Anolis sagrei: one gene and its partners. The protein of the gene in region 1 purifies or fractionates together with the protein of each later gene. This does not show direct contact. Links are inferred from orthologs where the notes say so. Each region holds a gene or a part of one and is shown on either strand. Other genes may lie near its edges. The genes, in order: MAX, YAF2, TFDP1 and MNT.

Region 1 (7,601 bases):
TTTTATTTATTATTTTTGTCTTGACTTGTTGTTTGTCTGTTTTAGGCAGTGAATGTCTGCCATTTTTGTTACTAACCACCCTGAGTCCTGTCCCCCCCAGGAGAGAGGGCAGGTTAGAAATAAAGTATTTTTACTTAAGAACCACGATAATACAATCTTACTCTATATAATGGAATATGAGCATTCACAGATATTGGTATCAATGAGAGTCCTGGAACCAAATCCCAAAAATTACCAAGAAGCTTCAAATTGTTCAACGGACAGCAGCTGGTAAATAAAGGATCGTAGAATCTGCTTATCCAACACAAACGGGATGACAGAACACTGGATAATGTTGGATAATATGGAGGGATTAAGAAAAAGCCTATTAAACATCAAATTGTGCTATGATTTTATAAATTAAGCACCAAAACATCATGTTTTACAACAAATGACAGAAAAAGCAGTTTAATACATGGTAACGTTAGGTAGTAATTACTGTATTTATGAATTTAGCACCAAAACATTGCAATGTATTGAAACAGGCAGACTGTATTGGATAATACAGAACTTTGGATGAGCGAAGGTTGGATAATCAAGACTCCACTGTACTTGCAAAGAGACAACACTTTCTGTATATATTTCAGATTTCAATATTAATGTCAAAAATACATACTATGATTTTATATAGGATTTGAGCTACATTAGAACAGTAAAGACAAATATCACTTAAGCAAAATAAACATTAAATAACCAGAAAATAAAATAAGGTGTAAACACTAAACTAACCTGGAAATCTGCTATTGCAACACATCCAATTAAGTGGTTTAAAACCAGTATCAAAAAGATTTGGACTAAGTACGTTCCAGTCTACTTGGAATACACGAAGCTCATTCCAGAAGCGTGTTTAAGAACTGGCCCAAGAGTCCAGAAGAGCCACCCCCCTTATCAATCCCCTCCATCTCATTAATAATAAGAGTTTTCTTTGGCCAGCACCTTAATCACTCTGACTTGGACACCACCTCAGCCCTGGCCAGCACCTTAATCACTCTGACTTGGACACCACCTCAGCCCTGTTGACTTGTAAATGCCTTTTTTACTTATAATGTTTGAGTGTTTGCTATCATTAGATCTAGTAGTAAACATGTTCTAAATGTTTGATTTATATATTTAAATATCTAAGTTTGTTATTTTTGAGTTGTTCTATAAGTACACCTGATGTTGTTTATTTTATTGTTTATGATTTGATTTGATTTGTTTATGTTATGCCGGCATTGAATGTTTGCCAATCTTCTGTTGTAAACCGCCCTGAGTCCCCTCGGGGAGATACGACGGTATAGAAATAAAGTTTATTTTATTTTATCTTGGCGACTTGGTTTGTGAATTTATTCTGTTGTATTTAACTTTTTGATGTGATTATGTTTTTAATTGTATTTGTGTACTAATTTATGCTGTAAGCCGGCCCAAGTCCCTCTGTAGAGGTTGAGAAGACTGGGGTATAAAAGTTTTATACGGCCCAATTTACCTGTCCGAACGAATCCTCCCCTATGAGCTATCAAGATTACTAAGATCTTCTGGAGGGGCACTGCTCTCGATCCCACCGGCCTCACAGGCGCGGCTGGTGGGGACGAGAGACAGGGCCTTCTCGGTGTTGGCCCCTTGACTCTGGAACTCCCTTCCACTGGAGATCAGAACTGCCCCTTCGATCTTAACACTCAGGAAACAGGTGAAAACCTGGCTTTGGGGATTGGCATTCAATGAATGAGCCGTGATCCTGTGATATGGATGGATGACGACGAATAATGACTTTGATGACGACTAACCACTGTAATCATATGATTGTATTTTTGTCATTTTAATTGTTTCAATATTTTAATGTTTTAGTGTGATTTAGAAATATTATGTTTTAATGGCGGTCTGTAATATTGATGTTGGAAATGGCCCCGAGTCCCTCGAATGGAGGTGAGAAGACCGGTATACAAAACTACCAAATAAATAAATAAATAAAATATTATTTACACCTGCCAGCATCTCCCCAATGGGGACTCGGGGTGGGTAACATGAGGAGAAGCCCAAGAATAATACACCAGACCAATATAAAACAATTTTTTAAAAAAATTAAACACAAACAAAATGCACAATGCAACATCCTTCCCATCTCCTTTCCTCTTACCCACCCACCCCCAGCCAACGCATACTGAACAGTATTCCAATTTCAAACCTTTATTTTGCCATTTTCTTACTATGCCACTGTACATAATCCCACCCACGTCTAGCCAAACATGTACTCAAAATCCCAAATCCTAGGAGTATTTAGAAAGGCACAAGACTTCGAATCCAGCTGCCCACTGTCCCCAACTCCCCATCGTAACTCCCCCCAACTCCTTCCCTCCTCATCCCCCTCCCCTCTCCCACCAGTTACCCAAACACGTCCCAGGCCTACCTCGATTCCAACCTCCTTCCTCCCAGACACAACTGACCCCGCCTCCCTCCCCTTTACTACTTCCGGGGGCGAGCAGGCCCTCCCTCCCTCCCTCACCCCGGGGGGCCTACTGGGGGGGGGCTTCTCCCTTCCTGAGGGGCCCCATTGAAGCGAAGGGAAGGCAGAGAGGCGTCGCGCAGACTGAACCTTTGGCTGTGAGGCAGGGCGAACGAGAGAGGGGCCGAGGCGCCACTACTGTCAGCAGCCTCTCTGCGGGACGGTGGAAACTCACGTCGCTCTCCACCTCGATGTCATCGTTGTCGCTCATGCTGCCCACGGTGGCGGTGGTGGTGGCGGCGGCGGCGGGGTCTCCTCCGGGGCCTTGCTGGGCCGAGCCGCCGCGGAGAGGAGCAGCGACAGCGACGGCGTCGGCGACGACAACAGGCCCCTGGCAGCAACAGCGTCGCCGTCTCTTCTCCTCCTCCTTCCTCTTCCTCCGTCGTCGTCGTCGTCTCCTCCTCTTCCCTCACCAGCATCAACGGAACACGCACCTCGCGCCGCACGTGACGAATGCCCCCCCTCTTTTTTTCTCCCTTCTTTTACCACAGATACATCCAACGACTCAGCAAAGCATGCCGGGGGATGAAGTCCTTCCGCCAGCACAGCGCCCGCGAGAGCACGCCGCTCTGAACTACCCTTCCCGAGAGCCTCTTGGGCGGGGGCGGGCGTTGGATGCCGCCGCGCGCGCATGCGCCTTGGCTCAGCGGTCGCTGATAGGAAACGGAGTTCCTGAGCGAAAGAGGAAGGGCTCTGCTTCCCGGCAGGCTGAGGAAGAGGACACGTGGATGGAAGCCGGAAGGGGACGCTTTTAACCACCTCCCCCCTTTCGCTTCTGGACGGTGTTTTTCTCGTTCTTTTAAAGAGCCAGGAGAGAGATTCGAAGAGGGAAGGAAGCTGTGCCGATTATGTAACCCGACCCTGGCTGTTTGTAGTCAAAGAGAATAAGGGGCACAAACAACAACACAGCACGACGTGTCACGTTTAGAAACCACTTGAGGAGCGTCTACACAGTGGAATAAGCGTAGTTTCACTCCCAATTTAATTGCTATGGCTCCATCCATTGAAAACATGAGAATTGTAGTGAAGGGGACAAGGACGAGGATTTCATTTGAACCTCAATTAATTTGATTAATCAATTAATCAATTGATTAATTTGATTAATCAATAGTATATTTATTTACAGTAGGGGTCCTCAAACTTTTTAAACAGAGGTCCAGGTCACAGTCCCTCAAGCTGCTGGATTATAATTTGAAAAAAGCATTCATGCTTTCCTATGCACACTGCACATATCTTATTTGTAATACAAAAAACACTTAAAAAACAATACAATAATTAAAATGAAGAACAATTTTAACAAATATAAACTTATTAGTATTTCATCGGGAAGTGTGGACCTGCTTTTGGCTGATGAGATAGGATTGGTGTTGTTGTGTGCTTTCAAGTCATTTCAGACTTAGGTTGACCCTAAGCCAGTGCCGGGTAAATGACCTTGGAGGGCTGTATCTGGCCCCTGGCCTTAGTTTGAGGACCCCTGGTCTACACAGTGGAAGAAGTGTAGTTTCACTCCAATTTAATTGCTATGGATCAATCCATTGAAATCATGAGAGTTGTAGTGAAGGCAGGCATGTAGCCAGGGCTTGAGGGGCTTCACACCCCCCCTCCCCGAAATTCTCATGGTGGTTCGCGAAAAGGCCTTACTCGTGCATTATTTAAACTGTTATGTTTATTCATATCATGATCTGATCACCATGCTCAATATATCCCATATGCATGGGGGTATTGGAGTAACTATACAAAAGGTTTGCTAGGGTAGACCCTCTTTCACTCAGACTCAGCCCCCCCCCCGAAACAAACTCAGCCCCCCCCCCCCCCGAATCGAAATCCTGGCTACGGGCCTGAGTGAAGGGGACAAGGACGAGGACCTCATTTGAATCTAATTTAATTTGATTAATAAATAGCAATAGTATATTTATTTATTTACAGTATTTATATTTCATCCTTCTCACCCCACAGGGGACTCAAGATGGAATGCAATGCACATATACATGGCAAACATCCAATGCCAATGGGATTTTGGCCTGCATCAATAGGAGCATAGTGTCTAGATCCAGGGAAGTCATGCTAAGGGGTGTATCATGACTTCCCTGGATCTAGACACTATGCTCCTGTTCTGCCTTGGTTAGACCACACCTGGAATATTGTGTCCAATTCTGGGCACCACAATTGAAGGGAGATATTGACAAGCTGGAATGTGTCCAGAGGAGGGCGACTAAAATGATCAAGGTTCTGAGGAACAAGCCCTGTGAGGAGCGGCTTAAAGAGCTGGGCATGTTTAGCCTGAAGAAGAGAAGGCTGAGAGGAGATATGATAGCCATGTATAAATATGTGAGAGGAAGTCACAGGGAGGAGGGAGCAAGCTTGTTTTCTGCTTCCCTGGAGACTAGGACATGGAACAATGGCTTCAAACTGCAAGAGAGGAGATTCCATCTGAACATGAGGAAGAACTTCCTGTGAGAGCCGTTCAGCAGTGGAACTCTCTGCCCTGGAGTGTGGTGGAGGCTCCTTATTTGGAGGCTTTTAAACAGGCTGGATGGCCATCTGTCAGGGGTGCTTTGAATGCAGTTTTCCTGCTTTTTGGCAGGGGGTTGGACCATAGCCCATGAGGTCTCTTCCAACTCTATGATTCTAATGCCATTAAGGAGCTCCATTGGCTGCCGTTTATTTTCCGGTCCCAATTTAAGGTACAGGTGATCACCTATAAAGCCCTAAACAGTTTGGAACCCACCTACCTCCTTCCACAAACCAGCCCGCTCTCTTTGATCTTCGGGAGAGGCCCTCCTTTCGCCCTTCCTCTCTCACAGGCCTGGCTTATGGGAATGACGGAGAGAGCCATCTCCTCCGTGGCCCCACTACTCTGGGTAAGATTAGGCAGCCTTCAAGAAGGATCTCAAAACCTGGCTTTTCTGCTGCGCTTTTGGAGAGTGACCCTACATCTCCTTTTGTTTGCTCCCCCATAATGTCTGTCCCCACACTGTACTTCCCCCTGCCTGTTTGAAGGTCTGTCTCCATTACTCCATTTTCCAATGAGTTTCTCCTTCACAATTATTTGCATTTAATTTCTATCTCATCCTGAGTTTTTATCATTTTAACTTGTACATATGGCCCACTCACTGTGATTGTGATTTATCTATTACTGTATTTTTGTATTATTTTATTGTATTTTTATGTTTTATTTGTTTTATTGTGATGTTTGTTTGTTTGTTTGTTTGTTTTTGGCTTTATTTTGTTGTAATGCATTTCTGGGCTTGGCCTCATGTAAGCTGGACCGAGTCCCCATTGGGGAGATGGTGGAGGGGTATAAATAAAGTTTAATAATAATAATAATAATAATAATAATAATAATAATAATAATAAACATAAATAGACAGACACAGAGGCAATTTAACATTTCCAGCTTTTCTGGCTTCATGAGGGTATGCTCGGTTCCAGCCACAGGGGAGCTGCCACTTCACCGTCCACTTGTGACACTGAGTCCTTTGATGAAGTACTTCCTCATTATTCTGCACACTGCTGGAAGATTTTATGGCATCGTAAATTAGTTGAATTAGCCTCCCCTCATAAAGCAGTACCCAAATTTCCTACTTGACAGATGCAACTGTCTTTTAGGCTACATTGGTCAACAACAAGCTAGACTATTAATGGTCGGGAGCTTACTCTGACCCAGGCTGGCTTCGACCTCATGACTTCTCATTCAGTAGTGATTTAATGCAGCTGGCTACTAACTAGCTGTGCCACAGCCTGGTCCTTGCACTTAGTATAGAAAAAAAGGGCTAGATAAATAAACTCAGTTTCTTCAATGTTAGAAGAATTTAGCCATGAGAAACTCGCACACATACACAGGAAAAGGCTCACATAAACAGAACAAAGAAAACATTCATCAAACTGAATCCTAAGGAGAGAAGCAGGGCAATAAACAGGGCATTACCTTCTTTAGATATGCAAAATGTCAAGCTAAAGAACTCACACAGGCAAAAATTTAAGACAGATTTAAGACAGATCAAACAAAACAGTGTTTGATGGATTGGACCAGATGGTATTTGATATACAGTAGAGTCTCACTTATCCAACATAAACGGACCGGCAGAACGTTGGATAAGCGAAAATGTTGGATAATATGGAGGGATCAAGCAAAAGCTTATTAAGTGTCAAATTACATTATGATTTTACAAATTAAGCACCAAAACATATTTGATACTGGTCAAAGGACATTTAACCAAATACCAAATTTACAAAATCTGTGTGGTTTTTTTTTCTTTTTTCTTTTCTTTTTCATTTTAATCTCTGTGTTTGTTTTGCTCTGTTAGAATTGTAAAACAATGGTTGCTGATGACACGATAAATAAATAAATATTTGAAATCCAAAACACCTGGAAGACAAAAGTTGGGAACACTCTCGTATACTGTATATTAACCATTTCTAGAATCCCATATTTAAGCATAGGAATGGCAGCACTGGAAAACCAGAGTTTTCTGAACACTGATATTGGTCAACGATCTCCAGAATCTCATCTGGAGCTGGGTGGCTCTGTGTTGGGAGGGCTTGGCTTGTGCCTTCCGGCCTAACAGAATGGGGCTGGACTGGATAGCCTCTTAAGGGAGGGGGTCTCTTGCGTTTCTAGGATTCTATGCCTCTCATTATCCTTGCTTGGGTTAGAAGAGAAGGAGAAGAAGAAAGCCAGAAGTGCAAGTTGCTGCAGAGCTGTCAGAACTAAAAGAGGGAGGAGGAGAAGGAAGAAGAGATAGCGCGTGGGGGAGAATAAGGAAGAGAGAAGAGAGAGAAAGAGGATCTGGAGCAAAGTGTGTGTGTGTTTGCAGAAAGAAGGAGGTTCCTCTGCCCACCCAGCAAGGTAAAGCGACAAGGCTTCTCTTCCCCCTTTCCTTCCTTCCAGCCATGAGCCCTTTCCCTCCCTTGATTTGGAAGCAAGCCTGGGTTGAAGTATCCAAAAGCAGGAGAGCTAAGCTCTGCGTGCACCAAAAGCAGAAAGAGAAGGAGAGCCATCCCTTTCCCCTCTTCCCTCCCTTCTTTTTCCCTCTCCCATCCCTTTTTCTCTTTTCATTCATCCCCTTCCATCCCTTCCCTT
Region 2 (7,390 bases), on another chromosome or scaffold:
AAACCATGTTTTATACAGCAATATTGTAAATAACATGTGGAAGTTAAGTTATTCATTTGGAAAGAAACTGATACATGGTATTCCATTATTATTACTATTATTATTTGACTTACATACAAATCTAACTTAAGAACAAACCTACAGAACTGATCATGTTCGTAACTTGAGGACTGCCTGTACAGAGCATATGACACGGTATAGTATGAGGCATAGATTTCAGTTGGGCCTATTTTTAACAGTAACCCTGAAGCAATGGGAAAGGACACTTATATCCAGTGTCTACCAATCCCTAGAGAGTCTACTGTGTTTCATAATCCTGGATAAGAGATGCTTAATATGTATCCCAGGTCCCTTCCACACAGCAATATAACCCAGATATCAAGGCAGAGAATCTCACGTTTTCTGCTTTGAACTGGAATATATGGCAGTGTGAATTCAGATAACCCAGTTCAAAGCGGATATTTCCGCCTTTATACTCTAGGATATAAAGCTGTGTGGAAGGGCCCTGGGTTATTGGAGGCCAGATAATCCCACAATATCTGCTTTGAACTGGGCTATCTAAATCCAAACTCAGATAATGTGGGATTTTCTGCCATGACATTCTGGGATATAGGGCTGTGTGGATGGATCCTGGGTTATTGGAGGACCCTTCCACACAGCCCTATATCCCTGAATATCAAAGCAGGAAATTCCACAATATCTGCTTTTAAATGGGTTATCTGAGTCCTCACTCAGATAAGGTGGGATTTTCTGCCTTGATATTCTGGGATATAGGGCTGTGTGGAAGGGTCCCGAGTCCACACTGCCATATATTCCAGTTCAAAGCAGAAAATGTGGGATTTTATACAGCTATGTGGAAGGGGCCCCAGAATATCAAGGCAGGAAATTCCACAATATCTACCTTGAACTGGGTTATCTAAGGGCCCTTCTACACAGCCATAGAACCCCAGAATATCAAGGCCAAAAATCCTATAATATCTACTTTGAACTGGGTTATCTGAGTCCACATTCAGATAATGTGGGGTTTTCTGCCTTGATATTCTGGGATATAGGGCTGTGCAGAAGGGTCCTCAGATAACCCAGTTCAAAGCAGATATTGTGAGATTTTTCTGCCTTGATATTCTGGGATATAGGGCTGTATGGAAGGGTCCTGAGTCCACACTGCCATATATTCCAGTTCAAAGCAGAAAATTTGGGATTTTATACAGCTATGTGGAAGGGGCCCCAGAATATCAAGGCAGGAAATTCCACAATATCTGCCTTGAACTGGGTTATCTGAGGGCCCTTCTACACAGCTATAGAACCTAGAATATCAAGGCAGGAAATTCCACAATATCTACTTTGTGCTGGGTTATCTGAAGGTCCTTCTACATAGTCAGAAAACCCAGAATATCAATGCCAAATATCCCACAATATCTGCCTTGAACTGAGTTATCTGAGGGTCCTTCCACACAGCCATAGAACCCAGAATATCAAGGCAGGAAATTCCACAATATCTGCTTTGAACTGGGTTATCTGAGGGCCCTTCCACAGTCCTATATCCCGGAATATCAAGGCAGGAAGTTCCACAAAATATCTGCTTTGAACTGGGTTATCTGAGGGCCCTTCAACACAGCTATAGAACCTAGAATATCAAGGCAGGAAATTCCACAATACCTACTTTGAACTGGGTTATCTGAAGGTCCTTCTACATAGTCACAAAAACCAGAATATCAATGCCAAATATCCCACAATATCTGCTTTGAACTGAGTTATCTGAGGGCCCTTCCACACAGCCATAGAACCCAGAATATCAAGGCAGGAAATCCCATAATATCTGCTTTGAACTGGGTTGTCTGAGGGCCCTTATAACTCAGAACATCAAGGCAGAAAATCCCACATTTTCTGCTTTGAATTGGACTCAGTTAACCCACTTCAAAGCAGATATTGTGGTATTTTCTGCCACGATATTCTTGTGTTATAGGGCTGTGTGCAAGGGCCCTGCGAAAGGAATCCCTTCCACTCCCTCCTGTCACCCTTGCCGAGAAAAGGCGGCGATCAGGAGCAAGGCTGCGATGGTGGCCGGCTCTGCTGTCCCTTCCCCGCCATCCTTCCTCCCTTCCTTCTCTCTCTGCTCTCCCTGCAGCCTCCTTGGGCCTTTCCCTCCCTTCGCCGCCATTCCCTCCCGTTCTGCTGGAGGAGGGCTGCGGTGCCACTCACTCAGGCCTCTCCCTCGCTGTGTGTGTGTGTGTGTGTGTCTCCTCTCGCTCACTCACCGGGTGGAGGTGCCCTTCCTCACATCGCACATCATGCACTTGAAGGCCTCGGCGCTGTTGCGGAAGGTGCAGACGCTGCAGTCCCAGTAGCCCTCGTCGGAGGAGGGTTTCGGCTGCCGCTTCGGCCTAAAAAGAATCGGGAAATAAAAAGAGAGAGAAAGAGGGGGAGGATAAGGAGGAGGGGAAAAGGGGAGGAAGGATAAGGAGGGGAGAGCGAGCGGGGGAAGGAGAGAGAGAGAGGCACCGGGAGGCTTTTGTAAGCGACCCGAGGAGACCTATTCCGCCGGTGCCTCCTCCTCCTCTTTCTCCTTCTCCTCCTCTCGCTTGGCCTAGTGATCAGGCTTCCTCTCCTTTCCTCGTCCCTTTTCGCCTCCCCGCCATCGCGCCACAAGAGGAGGCGGGAGAGAGGGCGACGAGGAAGAAGCCCCTCACGAGAACAACCCCCTGGCCGCCCTCCTCGCAGGCTCACCTTGTGGGGCTCTTCTTGTCTCCCATGCCGGCTCCAGACGCGTCTCCAGCCCGGCGGCTGCGGCCCTTTGTGTATTTGTCAATAAGGAGGAGCGAGAAGAGGAGGAGGAGGAGGCGGCTGCTGCTGCTGAGGGGAAGCGAGCAAGGGGAGCAGAAAGAGGAGGAGCCGCGGCCGACACAACAACTTGGAGCGAGCGGCCACCTCCAGCTGTTGGGGGAACTCCGGCCGCCGCCTCGCCTTCTCCTCCCTCTCCTTCTTCCCGCAGCCCGCCCGCCCGCCTGCCTGCCCGCCCGCCGCCTCCCTCACGTGTTCCCCGGTCGCCAACCAGGCCGAGGCCCAGGCGACGGCGGGGGCAGCCGGAGAGGGATCCCCGCTCGCGAGACAGGCGCACGGCGCGAGCACGGCGCAAGGGGAGGCAGCCGGAGGGGCCCCTCGCGCGCACACACACACCACCACACACACTCACGAAGGGGAATGGCTTCGAAGGGCGACTATTGCGCCGACTCTCTCTCTCTCCCCCCCTCTCCCTCCCACTCTCTCTCTTTCTGTCTCTCCACACAGGCCTCGGCCGTGACACCAGCGCCATTCCCCCTCCCCTTCGCCTTTCATTTTAGGCAGGGAAGGCCGCAGCCTCAGGCCTCTTTCCACACTGCCCTCTTAGGATCCTTGGGGGATCCTTCCACATTACCTCAGTGTGGACTTAGGCCCCTTCCACACAGCTGAATAAAACACCACATTTTCTGCTTTCAACTGGAATATATGGTAGTGTGGAAACACGGTTCAAAGCAGATATTGTGGGATTTTTTGCCTAGATATTCTCGTTTATACGGCTGTGTGGAAAGGCCCCTAGATAACCCAGGGCCCTTCCATGCAGCCCTACATCCCAGAATGTCAAGACAGAAAATCCCACATTATACGAGTGTGGACTCAGATAATCCAGGGCCCTTCCACGGAGCCCTACATCCCAGAATGTCAAGGCAGAAAATCCCACATTTTATGACCATGGACTCAGATAACCCAGGGCCCTTCCACACAGCCCTAAATCCCAGAATATCAAGGCAGAAAATCCCACATTATATGAGTGTGGACTCATATAACCCAGGGCCCTTCCATACAGACCTGTATCCCAGAATATCAGGGCAGAAAATCCCACATTATATGAGTGTGGAGCATTTGACTGAGGGTCCTTCCACAAAGCAGGAAATCCCACAATATCTACTTTGAACTGGGTTATCAGACAATGTGGGATTTTTTGCCTTGATATTCTAGGATATGATATGGGATGTAGGCCCAGGGCCATTTCATACAGACCTGTATCTCAGAATATCAGGGCAGAAAATCCCACGTTATATAAAATCCCACTCAGATAACCCAGGGCCCTTCCACAGAGCCCTACACCCCAGAATATCAAGGCAGAAAATCCCACATTATATGAGCATGGAATTAGATAACCCAGGACCCTTCCACAGAGCCCTACACCCCAGAATATCAAGGCAGAAAATCCCACGTTATATGAGTGTGGACTCAGATACCCCAGGGCCCTTCCACTCAGCCCTGTATCCCAGAATATCAAGGCAGAAAATCCCACGTTATATAAGTGTGGACTTAGATAACCCAGGGCCCTTCCACAGAGCCCTGTATCCCAGAGTATCAGGGCAGAAAATCCCACATTATATGAGTGTGGACTCAGATAACCCAGGGCCCTTCCACGGAGCCCTACATCCCAGAATATCAAGGCAGAAAATCCCACATTACCTGAGTGTCCAAAGCAGAAAATGTGGGATTTTATTCTGCTGTGTGGAAGGTGCCTGGTTTATATGTCTGTGGGTCCTGCCACACAGCCTCATATCCTAGAATATCAAGGCAAAAAATCCCACATTATCTGATAACCCAGGTCAGAGTAGATATTGTGGGATTTCATGCTTTGTGGAAGGACCCTCAGTCAAAAGCAAATAATAATCGGGGATTGGATTATGGTATATAGGGAAGTGTAGAAGGGGTCTTAAATGGGCTTCATTTAGGCATGTAGCAGGGGGGGGGGCTTGGGGGGCTTCAGCCCCCCCCCCCCCCCAAATTCTCATGGTGGTCCGCAAGAAGGCCTTACTGGTGCATTATTTAAACTGTTATGTTTATTCATATCATGATCTGATCACCATGCTCAGTATGTCCCATATGCATTGGGGTATTGGGGTAACGATACAAAATGTTTGCTAGGGTAGACCCTCTTTCACTCAGACTCAGCACCCCCCCCCAAACAAACTCAGCCCCCCCCCCCCAAACAAAATCCTGGCTACGGGCCTGGCCTCATCTGTCACCAATCCGGATTAAAACCTTCATCTCAAGGCAGGAAATCTCGCAATATCTGCTTTGAACTGGGTTATCAGATAATGTGGGATTTTTTGCCTTGATATTCTAGGATATGAGGCTGTGTGGCAGGGCCCACAGACATAACCCAGGCCCCTTCCACACAGCAGAATAAAACCCCACATTTTCTGCTTTGGACAGGAATGTATGGCAGTGTGGACTCAGAAAATCCAGTTCAAAGCAGACACTGGCAATGAAGATCCCCATAGTTTTGAGTTTGTTTGTTTTTTCTTTTGTGTGTGTATCAGGAACAACTTGAGAAATTGCAAATCGCTCCTGGTGTGGGAGAATTTGCCCATCTGCAAGGATGTTGCCCAGGAGATGCCCTGATATTTTGATGTTTTACCATCTTTGTGGGAGGCTTCTTTCATGTACCTACATGGGGAGCTGGAGCTGACAGAGGGAGCTCATCCAATGCAGAAAATGTGGGATTTTATTCAGCTGTGTGGAATGGGCCCACACAGACAAGCACTGTCTTGTTTCCTATTAGTACACTCAGGGCCCTTCTACACTGCCTTATAATCCAGAATATCAAGACAGATCATCCAGGTTATCTGCTTTGAACTGGATTATCTGAGTCTACACTGCCAGATAATCCAGTTCAAAGCAGATAATCTGGATTTTATACAGCTATGTAGAAGGGCCCATAGTGAGGCTTGGGCTAGAGCTACACTGAGCATATACTGGACTTTGGACTGCGTTATCCAACAGTGCAAATCACTGCTTTGTAAACTGCGTCCCAACCTCAAATGGAGTCTCCTTTCAACTCGATGTCGGGATCATGAAAAATTTGGCAACTGTGAAAGGTTTTTGAATCTGTCCATTTACACAAATCAGTTAATAACCTACAATGTTTACAGTGGACTCTGCAAGAAATGCTTTAGCTGTGCTTCATAAAAATGGAAAATCAGCCTGTTTAGCAAGCCTTGCAAATGCTGGTTATCAGTAAATGTTTGCTTTGTATACCTGTTTTATCTGTATATATACCTTGGGTCATACAAACTCTTTTCAGGCAGAAAGGGGTCCGAAAAGGTTAAGAAGTCCTAGGGTGGCTCAAACCTTAGAAAGCTTGGCTTTGGCTGCGTTGAGAGGATGTCTGATTGGAGGTCATGACCAGTGTCCACCACTGAAGAAGCCATGAGGTATACTGTGAAATCCAAGCACTGGTTAATGTGAAATGGGTTTGGAGTTAGTGGGAATACATTTCTAAAGTACATACAGCAGAACTTTCAAACTAAGTGTCGCGACACATTAGTATATCAGCTGCAGTGTGTAGTTGTGTGGCATGAAGGTAACAAGAAACCACGTGGTCAATGTGGAATTAGCAATAAATCAGTAATTTTTAAAAAATATAAATGAAAAGTTTTCATGTTTCACTACAAGTGATATATATGTCTATATCTTTTATAAGGCGTTGGTTTAACTTCCACTTTCCTAGTCATGAAGTGATGCATGTCTAAAAAGTGTGTGACCTACAGTTTCTTACTGTCGATTAAGCATAGCTGCTACACACTCAGTCCACTCCATTGCAAGTATAGTTTCTGCAGTCTTAAGAATATAGAATGAGTGATTTATCTTACATATAGATATGTGTTTCATGTTTTAAATTGAATACTGTTTTTTAATTGTTTTTAACTTTTTAGTTGTTGTAAACCGCAATGAGTCGCCGACTTAGGCTGAGATATTAGCGGTATACAAGCGCATAAATAAATAAATAAATAAATAAATAAATAATAGATTGGACGTCATGACCAGTCTCCACTATTGAGAGGTGTCTTGTGTAGGAAGTCATAAGATGTTCTGTGAAAGCCCTCCGGTTGTTCGAGTAAAATGGAATTGGAGTCAGTAACTGGAAATAAATTTTTGAAGTACCGACAGCTTGTTACTGCTATAAACTCAGCCCACTCCACTAGCAAGGTGGAGGCACCAGAATCAGTTCAGGTTGGTCATCCTTTATCCGGACTTTGGAAATCTGAAATACTCCCAAATCTAAAATTGTCCACATGAGGCTGGATCCACACTAGGGCTTCTAATGCTTCAATTTACATAAACATTGCTTCACACAAAAATTACTATAAAAGAGTGCATTCAGGCTATATGCATTTCTTGTTTCGACTTGGGTCCCTTCTCCAAGATATGTCATTATGTACAAATCTGCAAATACAGACATCCCACCATCTAAAATCAGATCCAAAACACTTCCAGTTCCAAATATTTTGGTTAAGGGACACTCAACCTGTACCGACTGATGCCCATTATTTGGGATATCTGTTTATTGTCCGTGTTGTAATGATTTATCGCA
Region 3 (7,529 bases), on another chromosome or scaffold:
CTTCATCTAAGTCATTAATAAAGATGTTGAACAGGACCGGGCCCAGGACGGAACCCTGGGGCACTCCGCTCATCACTTCTTTCCAAGATGAAGAGGAAGCATTAGTGAGCACTCTGCGTTCGTCCACTTAACCAATTACAGATCCACCTCACCGTAGTTTTGCCTAGCCCACATTGGACTAGTTTCCTTGCCAGAAGGTCATGGGGGACCTTGTCGAAGGCCTTACTGAAATCCAGGTACGCTACATCCACGGCATTCCCCGCATCTACCCAGCTTGTAACTCTATCGAAGAAAGAGATCAGATTAGTCTGGCATGACTTGTTTTTGATAAATCCATGTTGACTATTAGCGATGACTGCATTTGTTTCTAAGTGTTTGCAGACCGCTTCCTTAACAATCTTTTCCAGAATCTTGCCCGGTATCGACGTGAGGCTGACCGGACGGTAGTTGTTTGGGTCATCCTTTTTTCCCTTCTTGAAGATTGGGACCACATTGGCCCTCCACCAATCTGCTGGAACTTCTCCCATTCTCCAAGAACTCTCAAAGATGGTTGTCAATGGTTCCGAAATGACTTCTGCTAGTTCCTTCAATACTCTGGGGTGTAGTTGATCTGGCCCTGGGGACTTGAACTCATTAAGAGTGGCCAGGTATTTCTGGACGACTTCTTTCCCAATTTGGGGTTGGATGTCCTCCAATCCCTCATCCACTCCATCTTGCTGAGGTTGAAGACTCTCTTTTTGTGAGAAGACCGCGGCAAAGAAGGTATTAAATAGTTCTGCCTTTTCCCTATCCCCTGTCAGCATTGCCCCATCTTCTCCTCGAAGAGGTCCTATCACCTCCTTGTTTTTCCTTTTTATTGTTTTTAATGTCCCTGGCAAGTCTGAGCTCGTTTTTTGCTTTAGCCTTGCGGACCTTTTCCCTACAGGTGTTGGCTATTTGTTTGAATTCTTCTTTGGTGATTTCTCCCTTTTTCCACTTCTTGTGCATGTCTCTTTTGTGTCTTAGCACAGTTAGAAGTTCTTTGGACATCTATTCTGGCTTCTTTGCACTTGTCCTATTTTTTCTCTTTGTTGGCACGGTTTGCAATTGCGCCTTGAGTATTTCACTCTTGAGAAATTCCCATCCATCCGTAACTCCCTTGTCTTTTAGTATCTGTGTCCACGGAATGCTGCTCAGCGTTTCCTTCATTTTTTGGAAATCAGCTCTCCTAAAGTCCAAAATGCGGGTTTGACTTGTCTTAGTTTCGGCCTTCCTTTGTACCTCAAATTGCAGGAGCACATGGTCACTTGCCCCTAAGGATCCTACCACTTCGACCGCATCGATCAGGTCCTCCGCATTTGTTAGGATGAGATCAAGAGTAGCCAATCCCCTTGTTGCCTCTTCTACCTTCTGGACCATGAAATTGTCTGCAAGGCAAGCGAGGAATTTGTTGGACCTTGTACTCTTGGCTGAGTTTGTTTTCCAGCAAATATCGGGATAGTTGAAATCGCCCATGGCTACTACATCTCTTCTCTGTGCCTGTTTGGTCAACTGTTGGCAGAAGACTTCATCAAGTTCTTCCTCCTGGCTTGGGGGTCTGTAGTAGACGCCTACAACGACATCTTTTTGAGTCCCAGTTCCCTTGATTCTTATCCAGATGATTTCAAGCTGGTTTCCCAGATTGCTGTCTTGAATCTTCTGCAGCATAAGAGTTTTTGACATATAAGGCTACTCCGCCTCCTCTCCCCTTCATTCGGTTTCTGTGAAAGAGGTTAAACCCCTCGATATCTACATTCCAGCTATAGGAGTCATCCCACCAGGTTTCAGTGATCCCTATGATATCATATTTGTGGTGTTGTGCTAAACGTTGGAGTTTGTCTTGTTTATTTCCCATGCTCTGTGCATTAGTGTAAAGACATGTGAGCCCCTGAGATCTTCCCTTGAGCTGTTTAATTGGGATTATTGTGCTTTTGGTACTTGGTCCTTGTTGTGTTTGTGCAGCCCTCCGTTTAGCCTTCTGGCGATTCCCAGACATTATGGGTAAAGTAGTGTTCGCAAGTGGCTTCTGGTGTGAGCCCCCGGTGGCACAGTGGGTTAAACCCCTGTGCCGGCAGAACTGAAGATAGCAGGTTTGAATCCGGGGAGAGGCGGATGAGCTCCCTCTATCAGCTCCAGCTCCTCATGCGGGGACATGAGGGAAGCCTCCCACAAGGATGATAAAACATCAAATCATCCGGGCGTCCCCTGGGCAACGTCCTTGCAGACGGCCAATTCTCTCACACCAGAAGCGATAAGCCAAGGTGACCATGTTGGGATTCATACATTGGGTACATGAGAAGACATGACTCAGTAGAAAAGATAATCATGCTTGGTAAGGTAAAAGGCAGCAGGAAAAAAGGAAGACTGCGTTACAGGTGGACAGATTCAATGAAGATGTTTATGTAAGATTTGAGTAGGGCCCTTGATGGTCAGAGATGTGGATGTGTCCCATTTATGAAGCTGCCATAACTCAAACTTGACTTGATGGCAGTTAACAAGAAATGATTTAAGGGTTTGCATTATTTTCAACTTCTAATACGGTAAGTAAAGTTATATGCCTGCTTAAACAAATGAATTAATAAAACAATATATTTAAGCCGATTAAGAATTAAAGCAGGTGAACCTTTCCAACATTCAACCAAACTGTAGAGGTTTGTTATTCAAGTAGAAGGGTAAGAATGTTATTTTAGGTACCAAGGAATCCAAAAGCATTGATCCCCTGCATGACATCATAGCCTACCAGTTATGCTTGCAATAGCCTCTTTAATGGCTTTATTGGATTTAAATATGCTTTTTAATAGTTCTTTATTTTAATGTTTATGTGCTTTTGGCATTAGTCTGCATTTTGTTTGTTATTTTTTTAGTGTTTGCTGCTTTGAGTTTCCTTGGAGGGAAAAAAGCAGGACTTAAATACTTATTATTTTTATTGAGGTTGCCTGGCCCTAGGTGCCTGTTTTTTTCCATGTACTAAATATTGATTCCTGCATAGCATGCTTTTTTTTTTTTCAAATTACAGCCCTGCCCCCACATCTGCAGGTACTTTATTTGCAGATTTGATTTAAACCTCGCTAGGATTTTCTAGGTCAGGCATGGGCAAACTTTGGCCCTCCAGGTGTTTTGGACGTCAACTCCCACAATTCCTAACAGCCTACCGGCTGGGTTGCCATGAGTTTTCTGGGCTGTATATGGCCATGTTCCAGAAGCATTCTCTGCTGCATCTATAGCAGGCATCCTCAGAGGTTGTGAGATCTGTTGGGAACTATGCAAGTGAGGTTTATATATCTGTGGAACGTCTAGAGTGGGGAAAAAACTCTTGTCTGCTTGAGGCAGGTGTGAATGTTGCAATTGGCCACTTTGATTAGCACCGAAAGTCCTTGCAGCTTCAAAGCCCGGCTGGTTGCTGCCTGGGGGAATCCTTTGTTGGCAGGTGTTAGCTGGCCCTGATTGATTGTGCCGGCTATTAGGAATTGTGGGAGTTGGAAGTCCAAAACACCTGGAGGGGTGAAGTTTGCCATGCCTGTTCTAGGTCCTCCAGTTCGAGTTTATGATCATCATTCGCAAGACATCTGGCCATACAGCCACGTGGGAAGACCGTGGGTGCATACACACTGTAGTATTAATGCGGTTTGACACCACTTTTAATTGCTATGCCCCAATGCCATGGAAACATGGTGATGGGGCATGCACTTTGCATGTTCTGCGACTTACAGTCCTATATAGCGTTTATAAAATCTTATAAACTACATCTCCTTCAATGGGAGCGGTAGTTTCACAAGGTCTTCTGGCTTCAGAGAAGGCTGAGGAGACATGAGAATATGAGAGGAAGTCATAGGGAGGAGAAATATGTCCAGAGGGCGACTAAAATGGTCAAGGGTCTGGAGAACAAGCCCTATGAGGAGCGGCTTAAGGAGCTGGGCATGTTTAGCCTGAAGAGAAGGCTGAGAGGAGACATGATAGCCATGTATAAATATGTGAGAGGAAGCCACAGGGAGGAGGGAGCAAGCTTGTTTTCTGCTTCCCTGGAGACTAGGACGCGGAACAATGGCTTCAAACTACAAGAAAGGAGATTCCATCTGGACATGAAGAATTTCCTGACTGTGAGAGCTGTTCATCAGTGGAACTCTCTGCCCCGGAGTGTGGAGGCTCCTTCTTTGGAGGCTTTTAAGCAGAGGCTGGATGGCCGTCTGTCGGGGCTGCTTTGAATGCGATTCTCCTGCTTCTTAGCAGGGGATTGGACTGGATGCCCCACGAGGTCTCTTCCAACTTCAGTATTCTATGATTCCCTGGTTCAAAGAGCGCCGGCGCCTCGCCAAAACTCCAGCTCCCCGGATGACAGGCCTTGAGTCTCGCGAGGGCGGCGCGCGGCGCGAGGCCCCACTGCCACCCTCGAGAGCCAGCTGGCTCTCGCGCTCTTTCTTGGCCTTCCCGCGCGCGCACTTCCCCGGGAGAAAGGGAGGCGTGGTGGAATCCCGAAGGCGCGAAAACTTTGCGCATGCGCTTCCCCTCCCTCCTAAACGTATGGCGCTGAAGGGATGGAAGCAGAAGGAGAGAGGGAGGGAACTTTAATCTCCCCGCGTGTGGCTATGTGGGGCACGTTCCACTCCGTGACGTCAGCGCGCAGCGTCACGCCGGAGGGACGCACGAAAGTGTAAGTTTCAATTCTCCCCCCCCCTCTTTCTCCCGTCTTCCTGCCAACTGCCAAAAAAAAAAAAGGAAAGGCAGTAACGGCAGCGGGGTCGCGCGCAGGAAAAGGGGAGGGCGCGCGCGCTGCCCAGAAGCCCTCCCTTCATGGAGGAGGAGGAGGAGGGAGCGGGAAACAGGTGTGAAAACAGGGGGAGGGGGAGGAGGGAGGGGGCAGGGCGAAGAGAAGGAGGAGGAGGAAGAGGAGCCAAGGTGGTGCTGGTGGTGAGGAGGCGCTGGGCTTTGGCGGGGGATGATGGCGCTTGTGGGAAGAGGGAGGCCTGCCTCGCGTGTTTGTGGGGGTCCCTTCTCTGCCCCCCCCCCTCCCCACCAACTTCAGGAACTGTTATGAGGCAGCACTGTGCTTTGTATTATCATGGCTTGAATCACTGGGTTGCTGTAAGTTTTGTGGGCTGTATGGCCATGTTCCAGAAGCATTCTCTCCTGACGTTTCGCCTGCATCTATAGATGCAGGCGAAACGTCAGGAGAGAATGCTTCTGGAACATGGCCATACAGCCCAGAAAACCTACAGCAACCCAGCACTGTGCTTGTATCTCAGGGAACCAATGCAGACCTGGACAGCATGAAGGACCTGCCAATTTTGAGTGGAGGGACTGATTCCCTTGTAGCCCCATCCTCTCCCCCTGAATGAAGACTTGCAAGCTGTGGCAGGAGGCATATGCAAGGGAGTCCACACTTTGATCCAAGTCAACACTTTCACCCTCCCCCTAAATGCACCCCTTCCTTGGCTTTCCTTTCCTGACCACTTTTTGGAGTTCCTTCTGGGGAAAAAAACAGGCGCAAAAGATCAGGGTTACTTTTTTCTGTGTTTTTGAGATATATTTTTTCTCCTAATGGTTGGCCCGCCTTTTCTTATCAGGGCCAGTGCAATTGCTACGGTGGCAGAGGCCTCCCTCCTTGCCTGCCTGCCTGCCTGCCTGCCTGCCTGCCTGCCTTCCTTCCTTCCTTCCTTCCTTCCTTCCTTCCTTCCTTCCTTCCTTCCTTCCTTCCTTCCCTCTTCCTCCTAATTTCTCCCCCTCTTTGCCACTTTGTCTTGTGTGCAAATGGTGGTGTTGCTGCTGCTTCCCTGATCATCTTCCTCCCCACAGCCCGCCCCCCGAGGGGGTTTTGAGGAGGGCCGTGCATTGCACATGTGCAGTTGGCATCTCTGGCTCTCTCTCTCTCTCTTCCCCTGCGTTGGGGGATGGAGTTTGCTCTCGGATTCTCCTCTTCTGGTTCTTCAGGTACTCTTTTGGGAAAGAGGCAGAAGGGGGCAGCCAGGTGGGGGGAAAGCCTTTGAGGCAGGAAGAAAACAGCTTCCTCCTTCCCCTTTTCTCTCTTTCTTCTTCCCCCACCGCCTTGCCTTCCCTTCCCCCTTCCCTTCAGTGGGGGTGAGCTTGGTGCATGGGTGGCCCTCCTTCTCCCTGCCTGTCTGCCCCTCTCTCTCTTTCAGTTGTACTGCTGGGCTAGACTTCTAGGGCTCTCCCTCCCTCTCTTTCTGAGGCCCGGGGGGAGGCTGGCAGGGCTTGTTCTCTGAAGCACAGATGCTGCAGCCTGCCTGCCTTTTTGCACAGGGAACTGGGAGCACTAGCTTCCCTCCCTTTTCCCTTACGCCATATCATCGAAGGGACTGGACTGGGCCTTGCTTGCATGTTGGAGGTTGGGTTTTGTTTTGAGCTGGCAAAGAGTGCTGCTAAAGGGAGTTGGGCCCCTGAGGCCTAGCAACTAGGTTGTGAATGGTCAGGCACATAGCTTAGTCTTCCCCTCCTTGCCCACTTCAGGGCAGGCCAGGTCTGTTTGTGCATGAAGTATAATTGTGCTTCTCAAGGGGGTCTAATGCAGAGCTGGACATGACTTAGGCCTCCATCTACACTGCACATTTAATCCAATTTCAAATAGGTGTTGAAAAAAGTGATTACAGAAGAAATCCAGGAACTAGCTTGAGGCCTGGATGGTGAGGACACAAACCACAGAGCACTGATATGCATTGAGGGTTTGCTTTTGCATGCTTTTGTGTGAGTTTGAACTTCATTAAATGGTTAGTGTAGACGGGGCCTATGCTGCATCTGCACTAAGCTTCCTCTTGCCCACTTCAGCGTGGGACATGCGTGAGCCATAATGTAGAGCTGGACAGGTTTAATCTCCCTCACCACCCAAAAAGGAGGAAATCCTCTTCTGTCAGTTTGAGTTGTATTATGTTCTCAAAAGAAAGATGCAATATTCTTTTTTAAAAAAACAGAGCTTGTCAAAAATCTGAAGGTTTCAAGCTTTTACTTTAAGCCTGCACTTTGAACTCTTTGGCAGAAAAACCTAATTTTAATTATTTCAACTCTAAATTGATTTTCAGTATGCTAGCTTAATTTTTTTTCTTTTCTTCTTTCAGAATATAGAACTGCTTCTTCTGTTTATCCTGTGGCAACAACGCAAGTAAAGAATTGATTTCTTGGACTTGATAACATGGCAAAAGATGTAAGTATGTCTGTTTATAATGATCCTACAAACCCACATGTTAACACAAGGACTAACAAATAATAGGAATTCACTTTGATCCTATAGATGTGCATTGAATCAACAGTAAGTATTCAATAAAGTAGTTGTAGCCTTGAATCTTGCAGTGACATCTCCAGGGTTTAATAATACGGGTCTGTTCTGTGCTACACAACTAGTCATAGGTGTCAAAGAGATTCCTAGAACATATGGCAGTACTACTCTTACCTTGACTAAAATTACTTTATTATATCATGTATAACAGGTTGTAATCTCTACTAGCGCAACATCTCTGGGAATATATTGCTGTGTATTAGTAGTGGTATTAATTGACATTATTTGG
Region 4 (7,707 bases), on another chromosome or scaffold:
TGTAATATTACTAATAATATTACAATATAATGGATTGTGTAATATAGTAATATACAATACTGATATTGTACTATGCTAATAATATAATATATTGTATGCAAATATATTTTGTAGGCCACTCTTGAGTCCCCTTCGGGGTGAGAAGGGAGGCATATCCATGCCGTAAATAATTTTTTTTAATATGATATATTAATATATTACTACGGTATATTAACAATATTAATATAATATACAATTATGAACACTATAATAATTAATATAATAATAATCTATTATCAATATCCCTTCACTTCCTATGATGGTTAATATTATGCTGACAGCCAATTGAAATGAAGATAGCGGGGAGGGGGGCATTGCAAAGAAACTGCTAATATTAGTCACATTAAATAGATTTTAATAGATAATATATTATTATGAATATCCCTTCAATGCCTATGAGGGTTATTGTAATGCTGATATTAATATATTTTTTGTGTGTCAGGAGTGACTTGAGAAACTGTATAATAATAGAATATTAAATCCTTATTAATAATAATATATTACATAAAAACAATATCATAATAATAATAATATAATAAATCCTTATTAATAATAATATAATAAAATAACAATATCCTAATAATAATATAATAATAAATCTTTATTAATAATATAATAATATAACATAATATTATCCTAATAATATAATATAAATATCCCTATTATGCTTATTATTGTGCTGACAGCAAACTGAATAGAAGATAGAGGGGAGGGGAGGCATTCCAAAGAAACTGCTAATATTAGTCACATTAAATAGATATTAATATATTATTATGAATATCCCTTCAATGCCTATGATAGTTATTGTTACGTGGAGCGACGTGAAAAACTGCATCATAATATAATAATAAAGAATAGCAAGACTTACAATAATAATATCCTAACAATAATAATATAATATAATAATATTAACATCCCTATTATGTTTATTACTGTGCTGACAAAGAAACTGCTAATATTAGTCACATTAAATAGATATTAATAGATAATATATTATTTATGAATATCCCTTCAATGCCTATGATAGTTATTGTTATGCTGATATTAATATATTTTGTGTGTGTCAGGAGTGACATGAGAAACTGCATAATAATATAGTATAATAATAAAGAGTGGCAAGACTTACAATAATAATATTATAATATAATATGAATATCCCTATTATGGTTATTATTGTGCTGACAGCCAATTGAAATGAAGATAGAGGGGAGGGGAGGCATTCCAAAGAAACTGACAATACAGTCATATGAGTCTTATTAATTAGATCATAGAATCTTAGAGTTGGAAGAGACCTGGTGGGCCATCCAGTCCAACCCCATTCTGCCAAGAAGCAGGAATATTGCATTCAAATCACCCCTGACAGATGGCCATCCAGCCCCTGTTTTGCAATGTGATTAATTAGGCATTCATCACCATCAGACAAGGGTGGGAATGGCATTTGCAAGTGATGACGTCATGGGACTCCCCCAAAGCTCTTTCTCTCTCTCTCCCAATCCAATTTGAACAATATAATAATAATGAGATTGGGGGAGAAGGTGGAGAAGTGCTCCCCATTTAGGCAGAAGGGAAAAAAGAGGTGCAACCCCTCCCCCCGCATCTGATCCGGGTTGACTCCGGAGTGACTCCACTTACCACGTGCTTTCTGTTGTTGCTGCGCTTGCCATTCCAGGAACCGGGCCGCTTCTAGCAAGGTCTCAATGCTCATTTCTCGGGGTGGGAGTCCCAAAAGGAGGAGCAGGAGCAGGAGGGTGGGGGCAGTCTGAGGATCCCAAAATATATATATATAAGGAAAAATATATAAATATATAGATAGATAGGTATATCTCTCTGTCTCGAATGTGCAAAGAAGGGCTTGGCTTGTTCTGCCAAAGAGGGTCCCTATTGCTGCTGCTGCTGCTGTTGTGGTTCTTCTGGAGGGGAGAGAGCACACCAATCCGGGCTGAAGCCAAGCCTTTTTGGCCCCTTCCGGCCCCCGTTTCCGCGGCCCCCTCCCACCCGACCAGAAGAAGGCTTTGTAACAAGATGGCGATGCGTAACAGAAACACAACAAGAGAGAGAGAGAGAGAGAGGGAGAGACACGGCCCTCTGCTACTATCCCCGCGGGGGGAAGCAAAACCCGGACTGGACTCCTCTCTTAATGGAATTCGAGCCGCGCCAGCCGTTGATGCTTTGAGCGCTCACTCAGGCAACACATGAGGCTGATCCAATTGGTTCAATGTGTCGCCTCGCGCCGCTGTTTCCTCACCTCCCGTCGCTTTGGTTTAAATCACCCATTCCGGGGAGTTCCACCTCCGGGTTTTGCCCCCGATCCTCCCCCCCGCACTGCGTCCGCGTGCTGCTCAATGACGTCACCCGCTCCCTGGCCAATGGCGTGACAGGACAACAAGGCATGGAGCAGCTCCACATGGGCACTCTCCGCCGCGGGCCCCCGCCGGCGCCTCTCTTAAAGGGACAGGACACCTCAAGTCGCGCCCTGGTTCTCTTCCCTTCCCTTGCCTTCTTTTGTTCTACTTACTTCGCTGCTTAGGCTCCTCCTCCTTCGCTTCGTCCTTCTGGCCTTATTTGCATGAAGCCCCTCAAGCCCCGCCCGCTTTCCCTCCTCAAGTGTGAGGAGTGTGAGGCAAGGCTTAGCTCCTCCCCCTGCTGGTGTGAGGAAATGCGGCCTCCTTGGCTTGAAGCGCCTCAAGCCACGCCCTCTTTTCCTCAGCGCGTGCTTGTCTTGTGCTCCGCCCAACCGCCTCGCGCTCTTCCCCCTCCTGATTGGCGGAAATGCGGCCTCATTTGCATGAAGCCTCTCAAGCCACGCCCTCTTTTCCTCAGCGCGTGCTTGTCTTGTGCTCCGCCCAACCGCCTCGCGCTCTTTCCAATCCTGATTGGCGGAAGTGCAGCCTCATTTGCATGAAGCCTCTCAAGCCACGCCCTCTTTTCATCAGACGCAGGGCTGATGTGCTCTGCCCACTCTCCTTGCGCCTCTCCCCCTGCTGATTGGAGGAAGGTGTGGGCTTATTTGCATGAAGCCCCCTCAAGCCACGCCCTTTTTTTCTTCTTTTCCTCTCAGACGCAGGGCTTATTTTATGCTCCGTCCACTCTCCTTGCGCTCTTCCCCCTGCTGATTGGAGGAAGTGCTCTCTCATTTGCATGAAGCGCCCTCTTTTCCACTCAGGCTTGTGCTCCGCCCAACCGCCTCGCGCTCTTCCCCCTGCTGATTGGAGGAAGTGCGGCCTCATTTGCATGAAGCCCCTCAAGCCACGCCCTTTTTTCCTCAGCGCGTGCTTGTCTTATGCTCCGCCCAACCGCCTCGTGCTCTTTCCAATCCTGATTGGCGGAAGTGCAGCCTTATTTGCATGAAGCCCCTCAAGCCACGCCCTCTTTTCATCAGACGCAGGGCTTATCTTATGCTCCGCCCACTCTCCTTGGCCCCTCCCCTGCTGATTGGAGGAAGTGCTACGCCCTCTTTTCAAGCTGCACCCTTTTCCACTCAGCGCGTGCTTGTCTAATGCCCCGCCCAACCGCCTCGCGTTCTTCCCCCTGCTGATTGGAGGAAGTGCGGCCTCATCTGCATGAAGCTCCCTCAAGCCACGCCCTCTTTTCCACTCAGACTCAGGGCTTACCTTATGCTCCGCCCACTCTCCTTGCGCCCCTCCCCCTGCTGATTGGAGGAAGTGCTAGCACCCTCAAGCCCTGCCGATGGAGGACCTTCTTGCGGCAACCCCAGAGGCACTCCAAGTGGCCAGATACTGGTCAAAGGACATTTAACCAAATACCAAATTTGCAAAATCTGTATGGTTTTTTTTTTTCTTTCTTTCTTCTTTTTCCTTTTCTTTTTAATCTCTGTGTTTGTTTTGCTCTGTTAGAATTGTAATACAATGGTTGCTGATGACACGATAAATAAATTCCCCCCAGAGCGTGGCGAGTGGGAGGCGGGGCTTGTCTTATGCCCCGCCCACCTCGCTCTATTCCCCCTGCTGATTTGAGGAAGAGCGGTCTCATTTGCATGAAGCCCCTCAAGCCACGCCCTCTTTTCCTCAGACGCTGGGTTTATCTTATGCTCCGCCCACCCGCCTCTTCCCTCTACTGATTTGAGGAAATGCTATCTCATTTGCATGAAGTGCCCTCAAGCCCCGCCCTCTTTCCCTCAGAGCATGCTTGCCTTATGCCCCGCCCACCCGCCGCTCCCTCTTCCCTCTACTGATTTGAGGAAATGCTATCTCGTTTGCATGAAGCACCCTCAAGCCCCGCCCTTTCCTTCAGTGTGTGCTGAGTAGGAAGCAGGGCTTGTCTTATGCTCCGCCCACGCGCCTCTCCCCCCTACTGATTTGAGGAAGTGCTGCCTCATTTGCATGAAGCCCCTCAAGCCACGCCCTCTTTCCCCAGAGCGTGCTGAGTAGGACGCAGGTCTTATCTTATTGTAGGAACTGAGACCTCATTTGCATGAAGCCCTTCAAGCCCCGCCTTCCTTCCCCAGAGCGTGCTGAGTGGGAGGCGGGGCTTGAATCGTGCCCCGCCCACTCGCCTCGCGCGAGGCAAGGGTGGAGCCATCTGGGACAATCTGTCTAGTCATGGCCGGGTGGGAAGTCAGGAGGCAGCAGGCGCTCTTAAAGGGGCCGCGCCCTATTTCCCTTCCTTAAAGGAGCCGCGCCCTATTTCCGGAGGGAGGGGGGAAGGAGTAAACACGTGAATCCGGAATGCGTGATAAGGACGGGGGGGGGGGGAAGGAATGTGTGCAGCAAAACAGGAAAGGCGGTTTTTGTTGAGTGTGGGTTGCCTCCTGTGGCGTCAGATGAGATCACAGGCAAAACAGTCCAGATCCCAATTGCCTTTGCAGGAAAAAAAGGCAAGTCGAATCCGGATTGCTGGAGAGAATTTGGGAAAGAAAACTAGTAATCACATTTGCCGTTATAATTGCAAAAATAATCTACATAACTAATAAAATAAGCACAATAGTAATAATTACAATAATTACAATAAGAATTGCAGTAATAATTCCAATAAGAATTGCAATAATAATAAGAATTCCAATAAGAATTGCAATAATAATTCCAATAATAAGAATTGCAATAATAATTACAATAAGAATTGCAATAATTACCAGAATAAGAATTGCAATATTTACAGTAAGAATTACAATAATAAGAATTGCAGTAATAATTACAATAACACTTGCAACAATTACTATAAGCATTTCAATAATAATTGCAACAATAATTGAAAAATATTTACAATAAGAATTGCAATTGTAATTGTACTAAGCACAATGACGATAATAGTAATAATATTCGCTACAAGAGTAGTAAGGGCCATACTGTCATAAGATATACTGCTGGCATTATAAACTGGACGCAGGCAGAACTGGACAATTTGGACAGAAAAACAAGAAAACTCATGACCATTCATAATTCACTATATCATCGCAGTGATGTTGACTGGCTCTATCTGCGGGCAGAGGACTTTTACAAGTAAAGCAAGCCGTTGAAGAAGAAAAACACGATGCCCTGGTAGAATATGTCAAGGAAAACCAAGAGCTTGCTTTAATTGAAGTCAATAATCGGAAACTTCTTAAAGCACAGCAGACAAAGAGTCAGTACAAGAAAACTGCACTCCAAACCAGAACTGACAGCTGGCACAACAAAGCCTTACATGGGCAGTTTCTTGACAAAATTGAAGGAAAAGTTAATAAGGAGAAGACCTGGTGATGGCTTACAAATGGAACCCTGAAGAAGGAGACAGAAGGCCTGATTCTTGCAGCTGAGGAGCAAGCCATCAGAACCAATGCCATTAAGTTGAGGATCGAAAAATGCAGACTGTGCAAGGAAGCAGATGAAACCATGGACCATCTCCTCAGCTGCTGCAAGAAAATCGCACAGATGGACTGCAAGCAGAGGCACAACTCTGTGGTCCAGATGATTCACTGGAACTTATGTCACAAGGACCACCTGCCAGCAGTCAAGAATTGGTGGGATCATAAACTTTCAAAGGTCGTGGAAAATGAACATGCAAAAATACTGTGGGACTTTTGAATCCAGACTGACAAAATTTTGGAACGCAACACGTCAGACATCACAATAGTGGAAAAGAAAAAAGTTTGGATTATTGATGTTGCCATACCGGGTGATAGCCGCATTGAGGAAAAACAACAGGAGAAACTCAGCCGTTATCAAGACCTCAAAATCGAACTGCAAAGGCTCTGACATACACCAGTACAGGTGGTCCCAGTGGTCATTGGCGCACTGGGTGCCGTGCCAAAAGATCTCAGCCGGCATTTGGAAACAATAAACATCAACAAAATCATGATCTGTCAACTGCAAAAGGCCACCTGACTTGGATTTATTTATTTATTTGGTTTACTTTTACCCCGCCCTTCTCACCCCGAAGGGGACTCAGGGCGGCTTACACATCCAAGGCACAATTCGATGCCCATAGCATACATCAATAATAAGCAATAAAACAAAATAACAAATTAGCAAACAACAACAACAACAATACATTGCATCTAAACCCGTTAAAACCAATAAAACCAATAAAATTTCATACAAACCGATACAAACCGCTTCTTCCTTCTTGCCAGTCAGTGTTCGCTATCTCATGGTTCAGAGTTTTCTTCCACATTTATCAGTCCACATATATCAGTCCTGCCGGTCCTAATTGCCTGGTTGTCCTATCTAGTTAGCAGATTGCCCGAAGGCCTGGTCCCACAACCACGTCTTTGCCTTTCTCCTAAAGGACAGGAGTGATGTCGATGCCCTGATATCCACTGGGAGTGAGTTCCACAGGTGGGGGGCCACCACTAAGAAGGCCCTGCTCCTCGTCCCCACCAGCCTTGCTTGGGAAAGCGGTGGAGTCGAGAGCAGGGCCCCCTCAGATGATCTTAAATTCTGTGGTGGGATGTAGAGGGAGATATGTTCGGACAGATACGCTGGACCGGAACCGTACAGGGTTTTGTAGGTCAAGACCAGCACCTTGAATTGGGCTCGGAACTGAACCGGCAGCCAGTGGAGCTGACACAGCAGAGGGGTGGTATGCTCTCTGTATGTCGCCCCAGTGAGCAGCCTGGCTGCCGCTCGCTGGACCAGTTGAAGTTTCCGAACCGTCTTCAAGGGCAACCCCACGTAGAGCGCGTTGCAGTAGTCTATTCGGGATGTAACAAGAGCGTGGACCACTGTGGCCAGATCAGACTTCCCAAGGAACGGGCGCAACTGGTGCACAAGTTTTAATTGTGCAAAAGCTCTCCCAGCCACCGCTGAGACCTGGGGTTCCAGGCTCAGCGATGAGTCCAGGATCACTCCCAAGCTGCGAACCTGCGTCTTCAGGGGGAGTGTAACCCCGTCTAACACAGGCTGTAACCCTATTCCCTGTTCGGCCTTACGACTGACCAATAGGACCTCTGTCTTGTCTGGATTCAATTTCAATTTGTTAGCCCTCATCCAGTCCGATACAGCAGCCAAACACCGATTCAAGGTCTGGACAGCCTCCTTGGTGACAGGTGAGAAGGAGTGACAGATCTGGACATCATCTGCATAGAGATAACATCTCAGTCCGAAACTCCGAATGATCTCCCCCAGCGGCTTCATGTAGATGTTAAACAACATTGGGGACAGAATTGAACCCTGTGGGACTCCACATGACAACGGCTGTGGGGCCGAACAGGTGTCACCCAGTAACACCTTCTGG

What was found.
Region 2: the proteins of MAX (region 1) and YAF2 purify together in Homo sapiens (affinity purification with mass spectrometry; 3 studies listed by BioGRID and IntAct, with this or other methods). This does not show direct contact. The link is inferred for Anolis sagrei from reciprocal best matches to the Homo sapiens genes MAX and YAF2.
Region 3: the proteins of MAX (region 1) and TFDP1 purify together in Homo sapiens (affinity purification with mass spectrometry; 5 studies listed by BioGRID and IntAct, with this or other methods). This does not show direct contact. The link is inferred for Anolis sagrei from reciprocal best matches to the Homo sapiens genes MAX and TFDP1.
Region 4: the proteins of MAX (region 1) and MNT purify together in Homo sapiens (affinity purification with mass spectrometry; 7 studies listed by BioGRID and IntAct, with this or other methods). This does not show direct contact. The link is inferred for Anolis sagrei from reciprocal best matches to the Homo sapiens genes MAX and MNT.

What each region holds. Positions count from the first base shown.
Region 1 is NC_090021.1:232,298,970-232,306,570, forward strand, and holds the start of MAX (protein max), read right to left. Parts: upstream 3,009-7,601; 5' UTR 2,730-3,008; coding exon 2,694-2,729; intron 1-2,693. UniProt on the Homo sapiens protein: Transcription regulator. Forms a sequence-specific DNA-binding protein complex with MYC or MAD which recognizes the core sequence 5'-CAC[GA]TG-3'. The MYC:MAX complex is a transcriptional activator, whereas the MAD:MAX complex is a repressor.
Region 2 is NC_090025.1:136,447,351-136,454,740, forward strand, and holds the start of YAF2 (YY1-associated factor 2), read right to left. Parts: upstream 3,004-7,390; 5' UTR 2,751-3,003; coding exon 2,725-2,750; intron 2,382-2,724; coding exon 2,256-2,381; intron 1-2,255. UniProt on the Homo sapiens protein: Binds to MYC and inhibits MYC-mediated transactivation. Also binds to MYCN and enhances MYCN-dependent transcriptional activation. Increases calpain 2-mediated proteolysis of YY1 in vitro.
Region 3 is NC_090023.1:108,401,339-108,408,867, reverse strand, and holds the start of TFDP1 (transcription factor Dp-1), read left to right. Parts: upstream 1-4,520; 5' UTR 4,521-4,666; intron 4,667-4,695; exon of another isoform or gene 4,696-4,838; intron 4,839-4,869; exon of another isoform or gene 4,870-4,923; intron 4,924-5,847; exon of another isoform or gene 5,848-5,943; intron 5,944-7,082; 5' UTR 7,083-7,156; coding exon 7,157-7,168; intron 7,169-7,529. UniProt on the Homo sapiens protein: Can stimulate E2F-dependent transcription.
Region 4 is NC_090031.1:25,878,610-25,886,316, forward strand, and holds the start of MNT (max-binding protein MNT), read right to left. Parts: upstream 3,020-7,707; 5' UTR 2,555-3,019; intron 2,544-2,554; exon of another isoform or gene 2,285-2,543; intron 1,799-2,284; 5' UTR 1,745-1,798; coding exon 1,672-1,744; intron 1-1,671. UniProt on the Homo sapiens protein: Binds DNA as a heterodimer with MAX and represses transcription. Binds to the canonical E box sequence 5'-CACGTG-3' and, with higher affinity, to 5'-CACGCG-3'.